Lytechinus pictus: one gene and its partner. Each later gene encodes a partner of the first gene's protein in a complex. Links are inferred from orthologs where the notes say so. Each region holds a gene or a part of one and is shown in the gene's direction. Other genes may lie near its edges.

Region 1 (7,233 bases):
ATCTCGGTAGAAACCATGGTTTTAGACAATATTTCACCCTTTCACAATTCACAATTATATGCAATATTTAGAGTCAAGCAAAGCCAAATTCTGTCAAAATTATATGTCCCATGTTACAATGTACACAATACTTTTAGGACCTATGGCAATCATTTTGGATTTCAAAGTACTGCATTTATTACCTCCACGACCAATATGTGATCTATTCACTTAGAAATCATATTTAAGACAATATTTTTACTCGTATATCACAGTTATATGCATTTTATGATTCTCACTCTTGTGAAAATTAGTTTCTCCTTTCGCATTGTACATGATAAATATAGGGCCTATGGCGGCCATTTTGAATGTCAAAATACAGCATTTATCACATAAATGGTATATTAATGGCAATGATGGCAATTATGCTTTTAGTCAGTATTCCACTCGTTTATCTTAATAATATGCATTTTAGTGCTCACTCTTGTCATTTTTTTGGACCCCGGTCATTGCCATTGTACATAATACTCTTGGGCCAGTGGGGGCTTTTAGATATCAAAATACAGCAATATCCCCATATATGACATAATAAATGATATATCTTGTTAGTAATGATGATTTGCATATATTACTTCGTTCATACATCACAATTTTTTTGCGGTTTAGTGCTCATTTTTGTGAAAATTAGTTTTCCCTATTCATATTGTACATAATAGAGTATACAAGGGCCTATGGCGGCCACTTTGAATATCAGAAAATAAATATTTTGTCAAAAATTATTTTTTTCAGAGAGTATTTCACTCCTGCTACACGATTTCATGCATTTCATAGCCAATGTGCGGACAATTTTAGGATTTTTATGGGTAATTTGCATATTTTGGCGGCCATATTTGATTTCGCCAATTTGCGGAAAATGCTCAAGGTTACACGAGTGGCATCATCCAGATTCGTAATCAGCACCCTCGAATTGACAAGAAACCATTAAAAAATATTGTATATATAAGAAAACAAGGTTTGGTCAAGTTTCTACGGGGCCTATCCTGGACTAATGTTTCTCAGCATAATAGTAAGCTTGAATTTATACAGTTTCAACTATTTCAGCAATTTTACATCTGGGCCCTGTTTCAAATAGACATGTTATAACAACAAATTCACCTGTAGTTTCTATTACAAATTTACTGTCATCAGTCAGCCAATCAAATTTCAGTATTTCAGTAGCTTTTGACTGTTATCGCAAATATGAAACAGGCCCATGATGCTTCAGTCTGGCAGCACATCAACTTAGTCTAATCATGTTTTGCATTCGATGATACGAGGCAGATATTATGAAGATGTTTAGAATGATGATCATCCTATCTGAGATAAATAAAAACTGTGCAAAGTTCACCCGGTGCAAAACTGCCTCGCCTCTTTCACAGTTTACTTCTAGTCTTGCACTTCAGACTCTGTTTTATTGTTGACTACTGCTTCGTCATTGAAATTCTTGTTTTGGTCCGTAAAATATACTTCAGAATTTCAGGATCAATGCAAAATGTTTTATCCTTAGTGATTTCATTAAGTTACATTTATTTCCTTCCTTCATAAGCGTCTATCAAATTTGCAAACTATAATCATTTGTAAGTTTTCGCTTTAAATATCCTAATCATGGGAAAAATAATTTTCAAGCCAGAAAAATCACAAGAATATCATTTCCTCCCTCCCTACAGGTGTATGCATTATTTTCATATATTAAACTTTAGAATGACTCTGGAAGTCACCTTTATTGCCCATGACCCAGTAATATTTGTTAAGTTTTAAAGTTGAACAATAAAAAGAATCTTATCAACTTTAACTTAAGTCAGCATTTGTTTTATATAACTTACTTCCAATTCTCAGTTTTGAAGCTATAATTATTTCAGTGGCATACTACATGTACTTGTTATAACATTTCGTATCGAGTGTTAACAAGTTGAATGTGTCTTATCTTAGGGAGATGTAGACTTACTATACATATATCTATTATCTCACACTCCAAGTCTGAAAAAAAATTGTTTTGAACTTGGCTTTTATATATTTATGCCCTAATGTTTTAATATGTTTTCAAGCAAGGGTGGGCCCTGGATTTATTTAATAGGGTACTTCCATTTTGTGTGGGATTAAAAAAAAAAAAGAACAAAAAAGGTTCTTGTTGGCAAGAACTTGTGTCATCGTCACCTCTCCCATAAAGATTACAAGCAAAAATGATAGAATAAAAAGAGAAATCAAGTCCATTGTTGTTTGTCTCCCAGATCGACACTCAGGGCACATTATGCTAACCGATACTTTTATCTAAAGTTCCAAAAAAAAAAGAATTCATAACAACTTTATTGTTAACAACTTAACATTAGTGGATGGAGATGAGTTTAACGATATAAACTTTACAACCATTTGGATGATAATTATATAATAACATGACGGTCTGATTCCGGAGACTATTCTCGCCCTATGCCCACTGAACTGTGTCCCTTGTGTAGTGAGTCACATATATTTGTGTTGAGCTCTCCTATTGTCATATAGGTATGCCGCCTATTGTTCCCCTCACCCTCGCTCTTATTACGCATACACCCCTGTTCTTGGTTGTGTGCCCAGCCCAAAGCTTGGGCAGCACCCCTCAGAGTACATACCAAGTGTGCTCGCTCCAATGGCAATGCATGAAATACATGAACCTTCTACCACTAAACCAAAGGGGGGAAGCCGGGGAGTATCGTGCGCTGCAATATAGGAGGATCCATTCTTGCATAGAATAGAACTATTGTGTATTCTTTGAGAACTTAGCCATAGTGGTCCAGCTGCATGTTTTCTTAGTGGTGTGTGTGTGTCTATCTCTGTATTAAGAAAGAGAGAGATTTGTTCAGTCAGTTCAGCACTGCCACATTGGCAAAAGACCGACACCGACAACAACTAACCGGCTGGTATTGAACTTTAAGCGGAAGGGGGAGTGTTTGTTAATTTGGTCATCGGAGAGAGATAACATCGGATTTAATTACGTGAGTGACTGGGCTACTGGGCTTAATTGACCACCTTTAATGGCAAGTAATAACTCTAAGTGGGTTGATGATTGTCAATGTTTAGTTTACCTTTTAGTGTATTGTTGTTAATACTTATTTTGAGTAAATTGGAAAAGATAAATTGGAAAAGATAGCTTGGTGATACATATAGCTACAGAGGTTGTATGTATAGTAAAAGTAGAGATCAGAGTTTTAAGCAGAAATAATGAAAATATTGGCCATCTGGAAACAGGTACCTTCTCCGTTTTCTTTCATTATAGCATATAATTGATTAATCTATTCTGTTAAATTAAGTACTACTACTACTACAGATATTGTAAATAATTATGTACATGTAATGAAACAACATGCATTTTTGTAATTTCCCATCAAAGTTTACTGTGTTATCACCTGGTAATATTATTCATGAAAAAAAGACATTCCACTCAAATTCTATCACATTTTAGTATTTTACCACAGTAGACATTACAATACAAAGTATTTATATTCAATTGCACAGGTATTTGATTTTTAAACTTAGTATTTAAACAAAATACTTTGATCTTCACTTTTCAAGTTTTTTATCAGTGATAAGAATTAAGTTTTAAATGCGTTCCTACCAGGGATATAATGTACTTTCAACGTATAAGTGAATCAGAACATTCATGATGTATTTATGGATGTAATATACTTTTGATACATTTCCCATTTGGTATAGCATAATATATTCATATATAAAGTTATAAATTTATTTATTTAGAGGGTGGTATGTGTGGTTTTACCACTATCTAAAGTAAACTAAACAAACTTCACTGAACTCTTTGATCAGTACAATCTTCATCGCATCGTTCATATGCAAACAAATTCACCATTAATTGGCATATTCTGTATAATGTGTTAGTTATGTGTTCTAAGTTCAGAAGGGTAATTGTATCTCATTTCATGCTGAGAAATTCAAGGAATTGATCAATCTTGCCTTGTCTTGCTTTTCTGCTGATGCCCAGTATTTGATAAAAATTTATGTCACATTTGAAAATTGACCTGCAAATTTTTCTATGATATCCTACTGGACTGTTGAAACTCTTTTTTTCCCTTCTGGCATAATAAAAAGAATACTTTCCAAGGTTTTATCATGAGTGTGTGAAGAATTTTGATATTGATATAGCCTTTTTTTGTTCATCATGATTTAAAAAGAATACAATCAACAAGGCAAATAGCTGTAATTTCAAAAACTTCTGCACACTACCCCAAAATGTTTGCCATGTTCATTCATATTTTCCCCTCAAAAGCTCCCTTTTTATCGTTTCCTCTCTTCTTGGTTCACTTTCATAATGAACCAAAGAACCAAATGTTGCATTTTAGTCACTGTACATGTCAAAGTTTATTGTATAGGCCTATTATAATTGATATGCCAACATTTTCCAGAGGACTGACAGCCTAGCAGATACAAAATTGTTAGTTTAATGAGCACTACAAAATAAGAATATTGGAAACCAATTGTTTAGTATTTGCAACTGTACGGTATAATAATTGACCGACACTTGGTTTTAGGGAAAATGAACTTATTGCTGCTAACGTTTGGACTGCCCCCATAGCGATTTAGGATATATGATTCTCTTTTGCAGGCAATTATTTGATAATTATTTGATGTTCCTGTCAAGACCAGTTAATTTCATATCTAGATATTTCAATATCACTATTACATTTGTACATTTCCGTTTGTACCAGTGTACAGTAGCAACACAGATAATTAAAAATCTAATTATCTTACCGTACGTGTTTGTCTCGTACATGTATATCTGATTAAGTCATTATTATTGTGTTATTATTGCTTTATTAGTCCCATGTGAACAAGGTGTCAAATTTGTTTTTATTACAGATCTACCTTGCAATCCAACAAGTACAAAATGTACAATACATTTATTTTTAAAAGAATGAATATGCAGAGCTGCCAAGTAGTACGTTATTTATTTTTTTTACAAAATAAAAATTTATTGAGAAAAATCATCTCTATATGTCTCTATTTCATAAAACGTACACAAATATGGTTATTAGATCAATGTAATTTCAGGTAACTTCTTTTTTTTTTTTCAATCATTTTGTAAAAACCAGGGTGAGATATACACAAGTTTCAATGTTTTTTTTTTTCATCTGCAAGAGCAGTGCACATTTTAGCTTGCATGCAGCTTGAGCGCCGTGATGGGCGAGTGCGCCAAGCATTTTATTATGAAATACACTTTTGGGGGGAAAAATACAAAATATTTATCTCACACGGTAAATTTTTTTGTCAAAATTTTGTCAAATTTTTTTGTCAAAATACTGATTTTGGGGGATAAGAATAATGAAAATGCAAAATACAACTTGGCAGCTCTGAATATGTGTAGGCCTACTTTATTATGTCCAATATTTCTTTTTTCCACATCTATGCATGGCCATTTTATTTGAGTATAATAAAATCCCACAGGAATTGGTAGTTTCTTCTGGGGACTGAAAACAATATGGCCCGTATTCTGAACTCGGGTTTATTAAAACTGAACCCTGGTTTAAAGTTGTGGTTTAAGTATGGAGAGCCAAATGGGGCAAAAATCCCTAACAGTACACATTCAATTTATGAACTTATTGGACACTCAAATTATTCATAATTGTCTGGGAATGATAATTGAAATATTTTTCTTCATTATGAAAGCAAAAGGAAAAACAATTCAAATTCATATGACTTTGTTCTTCTAATTTCTTTTTGCTATATTTACAATAACTTTTGTATTGCAATACAATGATATTTCAACTATTATACATGAATATAACTAAGGTGAAAGTACCTTAAGAAATTAATATTTTAGTCATTAGATTACAGTGATATAACTTTCATTCAAGCTCCACATATGTTTTCAGTATTGCATAATAAACAAAATCATTTTCATCTAAAAACAAACTTCTATTTCTTTGTAGAGAACAAAGTACAAAATATAACAGTTTTTTTCGCAAAGAACTGGGAAGTTATCCCCTCAACATGACATGGCTATTTCCATGAATAAAAGCTAATTGTTTACTCAAGAAAAGAGGACAGCCCATCTAGTTTATATATCAAACAAAATCGTAGACCTTTGAGCTTTCAAAGTACATGAATATGGTGGATAAAAAATGCAATGAATTGAATGGATAGCCGTTATAATGGATTGAATGAATATTAATTACTTTAGATATACTCATTCTCTTTGTACAATTCTAGAATTTCTTTCTTGAAACATTTGTCAGAATTTGTGACAGAAATAACACACACAGTTTCATTAGTTGTACAGTACACACACTGTAAGTACTAAGGACCTTAAATTTATTACTGTTTTTGTCTTTTTATGGGTGTTATTACATATGTACAGTATGTGGAAAAGTTATGAATCGGCTGAGTAAATTATTGAAAAGATTTTGTAATATGACTCACAATGTACTTCCTTCTATTTTAACCCCCATCCCCCAAGAATTATTCAATTATTCATCCTGGTCATCCTAAAAATAATTCTTTTTGAATAATTGGAAATCAGTGAATATTTTTCATATTATAATGTACTTATGAGAAAATGTTCAGTTTAAAGGGGAAGTTCAACCTGGCATCACAAATCAAGAATTTAAAATTCTGATAACTTTGATGAATTTTCCTCAAACCTTTACCAATAGTTATTTTTATTTTTTTCTGGTATTCTTGCAACAAACCTTTCGTCAGGGTGAACTTCCCCTTTAAATCTAGTCTTTGTAAATGACACAAACTTGTGCACTTCTTACATGTACCTTCATTCAAACCAAAGGGATCACTCAACTTTACTCAGGAGCTATTTATTTCTTCTTCGACTCTGCAAACCTTTACACTGACAGGAATCACCTGAGATGTTTTAAAAAGCTCCTCTAATCACATCATAAAGGTTAATTGCTGTGATAACGATGACTACAATCGTAAGCATCCATTTGGATGCCTAACACTGTAAGCCATGAAGGGAAAATAATCACTTTTTTTGCCATTATTTCAAAGCATGTAAAGGTGCTTGTGGAATGACATTTTCAGGGATTCCTCTTGAAATATTGTTGCATGCATATTGCACTTAAAGGTCAAGTCCACCCCAGAAAAATATTGATTGGAATAAATTATAGAGAAAAATCAAACTAGCAAAACAGTGAAAATTTCATTGAAATCGGATATAAAATAAGAAAGTTAGGACATTTTAAAGTTTCACTTATTTTTTTTTTACAAAACAGTGAT
Region 2 (7,233 bases), on another chromosome or scaffold:
GTTTTTTTTTTCTATATAAAAAAGCCCCCCTTTTCAAAAATTCTAGATCCGCCCCTGGTGGTTGGTTATATTTTCAAACACTAGCTTTCTTATTTCGTACAATTTTTTTTTTCATGGTATGCACTTTTATGGGCCGTCATGCTCTAATTAGCAAAAAGTATCTGAAAAATATAAAACAAAGAAAATGAAATAAGTAAGGTGTGATTTAATTCAAATTGATGCTTTCATCATGAGGTTTTAGTGATATATAGGCCTCTTTCCATATACTTTTATTATATTTCATTAGAGGCATTTGCATTTGAGACACGAGAAACAAAGTAGGCTTGTAATGGTAAAACTCGTCATTTTCCGATCAATATTTTTTGTGGAATTTTGACTCAATTATGGCGACAACGGTTGCTGTGTTTTTATTGATTTTTTTATAGCCCATAGTGTTATTCATATAATGTTATTCATATAAACATAAAAGATCACTCAGTTATCAAATAAATATTAAATTACATAAGAGCTAGGGAACGTGCAAGTTTGTTTGATAAAAATAACGTCAAGAATATAATTGTAACATTTCCATTTCCTTTCCATCAGTTCTATTTTATACTGCTTTTCTTTAAAATGTCAATTGTTAGTTTGCATCTGATTTATATTACCCTGTATTGTGTTTGAATGGCAATGAAATAATGAATTGAACTGGATATTATATAAGAAAAAGGATTCAGGAAAGACAACGTCCATGATAAAAAAAAACATGCTGTACAAAGTCTTTATGATATCCGTCTGGTCTTATTCATGCACATTCTTATTTCTGCTCCAACTTCTACAGCTGGCTTGGTCTAACATACACAACAAAGACTGTCGTGTTAACCGGTGTACATAGAGGACCATACCAGTTATTTTTCACCGGTGTTAAATTGACAGTGTTACAACACCTTTGGTTGTCACATCAACACCCTTTGGTGTTATGTTCAATCCCTAGGGTGTAATTTTAACACCTCAGGGTGTGGTCCTCTATTAACACCAACTGGTGTCAGTTTTAACACCTCAGTTTTTACAGTGTACCATTTATGGCATATTTATCATTTTTTTAATGGTTAACCATTGTTGCTAAAACAAAATTGTATACCAAAACTGGCGGATTCATTTTTTCTTACAGGGAGGGGCCTAAACAGAGGCCTATTTTTTCTTCAAAGATTTCAATATAGGTCTCCATAATGCGAACTTCCCGTCCGATGTTATTTTGACAAGCAAAATATAAAAAAAATAAGGGGTTATTACTCTAATACCCCTCTCCTTGAAGCCAGTGGGGTCCAGTGTTTTTGCATGATTTTCAGGGGGGGGGGGTTCTTTGTAAAAAAAAACGCCATTCTGGAATCCTTCCCCCGGCTGTACATTATATAATTGAAAATGACTGTAAACTGAACAGCGTGACATGACTTTTAAAGGAGAAATATATTGAAAATCGTAAAAATGGAGAATCATATATCAAATCAAAGGAGAAAATAAGGAGAACACGATGGTGTACATCATTTATCATAGAGACCGATGGAACTCAGTTAATTGATAGTTTAAAGTTCTCTCTCTAAATGCTTCAAACACGCAGAATTACGTCCGCGAAATTGGGGATTTTTTATGACGTCACTTTCTGTACGAGAGGCGTGTTTGGCTCTCCCACGTGAAGCTCCACTTGCATGCAAAACCTGTTGCGAGGGTACGTTTTCTCCACATTGTCACTGAATACTTCGATCACGAAATGAAAGAAAACCCAGAATTTTATCTAGATTTGGATTTTCAAATTGATGATTTTGAAGATGAAGAGAATGATGATGAAGTGAACAACAAAGTGACGTAGTTGGGGGTAAATTGGGGGAATCGATGATGAGGAGTCGGACAATTCAACTTGCAACACGATCACATGCCGATTCGCTACCAACTCATGCAGCTGCTAAGTGCTAGCTACACCGCGCGTGCCAAATTGAATTCACGAAAATGACTTGCCACACTGTCCAGACAGAGTCTCTTACTTCTGTGACTATGAAGAAGGAAAATAATGATTAAAACTGTACTTACAAATAAGTGAATGTAATCCGAACCTGAAGGCAAATCAACTCAACGAATAGCAGCAGACGATATGCACCGATGATAAAATTCATGTGGCTGGGATAGATTGTCACTCGTTCTGTTAGATGTAATTTTTATCTCATTAATTTGACAAAATTACGAAACTCGGGGAATTATTTATCTATATAAAAATATAGTAACATCTCGTATAATTTTTAAATTACGATAAAACGTTTTTTGAAGGAAAACATTGAGGTAAATTAAAATTAGATGTAAAAGATCCCCAACATGCGTAGCTTGATTGAGAGCTGTGCAACACGTGCATAGATCTACTCTCTCAGCCACGGCGAGCAAGCAATACGGCATGTTTGTGATTTTGAATACGATCACATATACGAGCTTTTAAAAGGTTTTATCGTAATTTAAAAAATAATACGAGATGTTACTATATTTTTATATAGATAAATAATTCCCCGAGTTTCGTAATTTTGTCAAATTAATGAGATAAAAATTACATCTAGTGACAATCTATCCCAGCCACATGAAGTTTATCGTCGGTGCATATCGTCTGCTGCTATTCGTTGAGTTGCCTTCAGGTTCGGATTACATTCACTTGTTTGTAAGTACAGTTTTATCATTATTTTCCTTCTTCATAGTCACAGAGGTAAGAGACTCTGTCTGGACAGTGTGGTAATTCATTTTCATGAATTCAATTTGGCCCGCGCGGTGTAGCTAGCACTTAGCAGCTGCATGAGTTAGGTAGCGAATCGGCATGTGATCATGTTGCAAGTTGAATTGTCCGACTCATCATCATCGGCGTAATTCCCCCAATTTACCTCCAACTACGTCACTTTGTTGTTCATTTCATCATCATTCTCTTCATCTTCAAAATCATCAATTTGAAAATCCAAATCTAGATAAAATTCTGGGTTTTCTTTCATTTCGTGATCGAAGTATTCAGTGACAGTGTGGAGAAACCGTACCCTCGCAACAGGTTTTGCATGCAAGTGGAGCTTCACGTGGGAGAGCCAATCACGCATCTCGTACAGAAAGTGACGTCATCAAATTCAAGTCAATTCAGAGACCGATGCGAGGCATATTTCGGAGAGGCATTTTGAGCGTTTTTTAATCGGCGATTTTCACCTTATGTATTATTTTCGTTATTTTTGAATGACCCACTGATAATCCCCACATCATTACCTTTCCATTGACATATAATAAGACCACATTCATAATCAATATAGTTCTCCTTTAAGTTTAGACAGCTCATCAGTATTTAGGATAATACTAATCGAATTAATAACAAATTAGTGATGAGTCATCACTAATTTGTTATTAATTCGATTAGTATTATCCTAAATACAAATATACTTTCGCATTGTTTGTCATTGTACTTCTAAGCGAAGGTAATGTAAATTTGATGATAAGCGGAGCACGTTGGCCTGAAAGTACTTTAAAAATGTCATTCCTTAGACGATTTTGATTATTTTCAGTGCTTTGTTTGTCCGATTTTACTTTATCTGTTCAAATAATGTCATTTTTTACTATTACTACTACTACTACTACTACTACTACTACTACTACTACTACTACTACTACTACTACTACTACTATACTACTACTAGTACTACTAGTACTACTACTACTACTACTACTACTACTACTACTGCTACTACTACTACTTCTACTACTACTTTATAATTAATTGAATCGTGATACTTTTTCTTTGTTTGAACATAAATTTGTTTTATGTCAGTGGTTTAATTATGTTTTCAATCCATCTCTCTCTATCCACCCAGGTGAGGGCTACTCTTGAGTACGAGAAAGACCAGGCCCAGCTTTACTCACAACTAAAAAAATACAAGCAGTAAGTATTTTTAAAGGCCACTGAAATTGTTCCGGGAGGGGCAGGACGCGTACAATTTTTCGAAGAAACTCGAAAGCGAAGGAACGAAGCGACCAAGCTATTTATTGGGGCGCTTTGCATTTTTAAAGGTGAAAAATTAAGGATTTTGTACACAGTTTTGGTGGATTTTGCGAAAGTTTGAAGTAAAAAAATGTAGATTTTCAAAACTTCTGGGGGCAGCTACCCCCGCCGCCCCCGTTGCCTAAGACCATGTTCTTGCACCCCTCGCTGCCTTGGTTCACCCCCTTTTTCTCCTTACTGGTCCCTCAATCTCACGACTTCACAAACAGTTGACTACCCCCCCCCCCCCCTACAAAACAAATCAATAAATCAATAAAAAATGTTTTAAGATCAAAAAATTAATTTCCCTTTTTTTGAATCTTTGAAAGCGACTATTTCGAATTTAATTTGGAAAAGAGGTATACTTTGATCGGGGGTCTGGGGCCCATTTGATTAAGACTTATTATCATAACAAATGCAAAATTGCTATAGGCTAACAAGTTTGCCAATCACATTGAATGATTTGAGTAGCTAAAAATATTACTGCAAATAATTGTTATGAATTAAGTTTTATGAAACGGGCCTCTCAAACAGGTTCGTCGGTAAAAGGAGTTATCGTTTTCTCGCCATATGGGGAGAATATAGGGTCTATGTCGTTCATATTACCATAGTTCTATATAAAACAAAACAAATAAATAAATATCACGATATCGTCACAAATGTCATGCTAAATCTAAGATGATCACCAACTGTCGAGAAAAGGAATTTAAAGTAAGGTTGGTGAAAGATGAATCTATTAGGATTCAGGCAGTTTATATCGTCGATGATAGCTTCAAGCCGAAAAGCAGTCGTGCTAAAAACACAATAATTATTATGGGATAATGTATTTCAGATATAAAAGTTCAATGTGCAAAGTTTGAAGTGCGTCTGTTCTCTCTCGTAATTGCTTTTCTAAAATCTGTTTAACGTCGTCATCTAAAAGGGAACATTCATCTAAAGTGAGCCGTTTGTGGAGGTCATTGTGGAGAAAGGACATGCTTATTAAGAGAACAATACGGAATATATGAAATGACATCTCATTAATTCCATTGAGCATTTATGACTCGTTTTCAGAATGTACAAAATTCAGCTTCGTTAACCATGCCTTAACAAAGTAATATGATTTGGAACAAAAACGAAATAAGTTTTGACTGCTTGTGAGCCTTTAACAACATTTTTGCTCAGTCGACACTTTGATCGCCTTATCTAGTCTGATTTTATCTTATTCAACCTTATCTTATCTTATTTTGTCGCATATTTTTTTCTTCTTATATCATCTAACTTTTCTTGCCTTGTCTTATCTGATCTTATCTTATCTATCTTATCTAACCTAACTTATCTTGTCTTGTCTTATCTTATCTTTATATTATCTTATACGTTACACTATCTTACTCTAGGTGGTTTCAGACCGCCTCGAAGTTCGCCAGTTCCAGGTATTCTCTGATCGGGAAATTTACCCCGATCAGAAAATACCAGGTATTTTGGCGGTGTGAAAGCAAACTACGCGTAATATCCCCGAAAGAAAATACCCGATAAATAGTAGGTACTTGGCGAAATTACGAGAACTTTCGCGGGGATTTTTCCAAGGTCGTGGGTATTTTGGCGGTCTGAAAGCAAATTACGGGAACTTTTAGCCCAGCGTGTCGTTAGGTGCGGCGCCGTGCATGGGTTGCTGCTGGGCTAGTGATTTTGAATTTCGCGCCTTGCTGCTTATCAGACCATACTGCGCATGCTCGTAACTTCAGGAACTTATCCCGAAGGGTATGTTTCAGGGCGGTGTGAATGCAGGAATAATTAATGGGTATTTTTCAGCTTAAAAAAGTTCTCGTAATTTAACGGGGATTCTATGAGGCGCCGAATGTACCAATATTATATAGAACAATTATTTGTTATATAATCATTATTTATTAAATAATAACTATTATTTATATATAATTTACATTTTATTTGTAAATAACTACTATTATATAAAATATCATTTCTAATTATTTATATATAATTCCAAGTAATACTTCATTATTTGTAAATAATAATAGTTCGACATTCCATTATTTATAAATAATGATTATTTGTTTTTCATTATTTATAAATAATGATTATTTGTTTTTCATTATTTATAAATAATGATTATTTGTTTTTCATTATTTACAAATAATGATTGTTTGTTTTTCATTATTTATAAATAATGATTATTGGTTTTTCATTATTTATAAATAATGATTATTTGTTTTTCATTATTTACAAATAATGATTATTTGTTTTTCATTATTTATAAATAATGATTATTTGTTTTTCATTATTTATAAATAATTTGTTGAGTTTTCCATTATTTATAAATAATGATTATTTGTTAAATAATGAAAACGTCTACTTCATTATTTATAAATAATTTTTTCGAGTGCACCATTATTCTCATTATTTATAAATAATCATTATTTAATGTTCGAGTTTTCCATTATTTATAAATAATGATTATTTGTTAAATAATGAAAACGTCTACTTCATTATTTATAAATAATTTTTTCGAGTGCACCATTATTCTCATTATTTATAAATAATCATTATTTAATGTTCGAGTTTTCCATTATTTATAAATAAAGATTATTTGTTAAATAATGAAATATCTACTTCATTATTTATAAATAATAATTTTGTTTCAATATCCCATTAATCATTATTTATAAACAATTTTTACAGTTTGCCATTATATACAAATAATCATTATTTATATACAAATAACCATTATTTATTAAATAATGCCATTATTTATTAAATAATGCCATTATTTATTAAATAATGCCATTATTTATTAAATAATGGAAAACTCGCTATAACATGCAAATGTGGGACCGCCCATGATATGAATATTCATGATGCGATTTCCTTTTTCGTGATTTTTCTTCACAAATTTTTGTCCATTTCCTCTTCATAATGACATTTCTTGAAGCAATTTTCTAGGGATATGGTCTGATTGTAATATTCTTCATTTTCTATATAACTTCTTCTTCGTAGAAATATCAAAAAGTGTAATTTTATACGATTTTTCCTACAGTTCACAATCCCCATAGGCGCGCGTGTACGGTAGGGACAACCGGTGAATCGACGGAGTGCTCTTCATCGAAATACTACGTTGGTTGGTCCCCGGAAGTGGCGGGCGGAATTTAGCCCGAATCCTCGATGGAAGTCGATCAAGTGCATATGAGCTGAGAGAGTGAAATATCAGTGTACTTGTA

The links. The genes of interacting proteins can lie anywhere in the genome.
Region 2: the proteins of myosin-VIIa-like (region 1) and harmonin-like are in contact, whole or in part, in a crystal structure (PDB 5MV9), measured with the Homo sapiens proteins. The link is inferred for Lytechinus pictus from reciprocal best matches to the Homo sapiens genes MYO7A and USH1C. Residues at the interface, in NP_000251.3 of Homo sapiens: Phe1946, Val1953, Ala1976, Lys1995, Lys1996, Trp1998, Gln2017, Pro2020, Lys2021, Arg2024, Tyr2026, Ser2112, Ala2113, Phe2114, Phe2115, Glu2116, Val2117, Lys2118, Ile2128, Ser2161, Gly2163, Asn2164, Thr2165, Tyr2166, His2168, Leu2181, Glu2183, Thr2184, Ser2185, Leu2186; in NP_001284693.1 of Homo sapiens: Glu450, Pro456, Ile457, Val461, Val462, Ser463, Tyr466, Glu467, Lys479, Gly480, Pro522, Tyr526, Asp527, Asp528, Glu529, Leu530, Thr531, Phe532, Phe533.

The regions. Positions count from the first base shown.
Region 1 is NC_087260.1:11,316,660-11,323,892, reverse strand, and holds the start of myosin-VIIa-like, read left to right. Parts: upstream 1-2,537; 5' UTR 2,538-2,984; exon of another isoform or gene 2,985-3,026; intron 3,027-7,233. UniProt on the Homo sapiens protein: Myosins are actin-based motor molecules with ATPase activity. Unconventional myosins serve in intracellular movements. Their highly divergent tails bind to membranous compartments, which are then moved relative to actin filaments.
Region 2 is NC_087253.1:25,238,972-25,246,204, forward strand, and holds the start of harmonin-like, read left to right. Parts: upstream 1-2,354; 5' UTR 2,355-2,596; coding exon 2,597-2,674; intron 2,675-3,854; coding exon 3,855-3,922; intron 3,923-7,233. UniProt on the Homo sapiens protein: Anchoring/scaffolding protein that is a part of the functional network formed by USH1C, USH1G, CDH23 and MYO7A that mediates mechanotransduction in cochlear hair cells. Required for normal development and maintenance of cochlear hair cell bundles.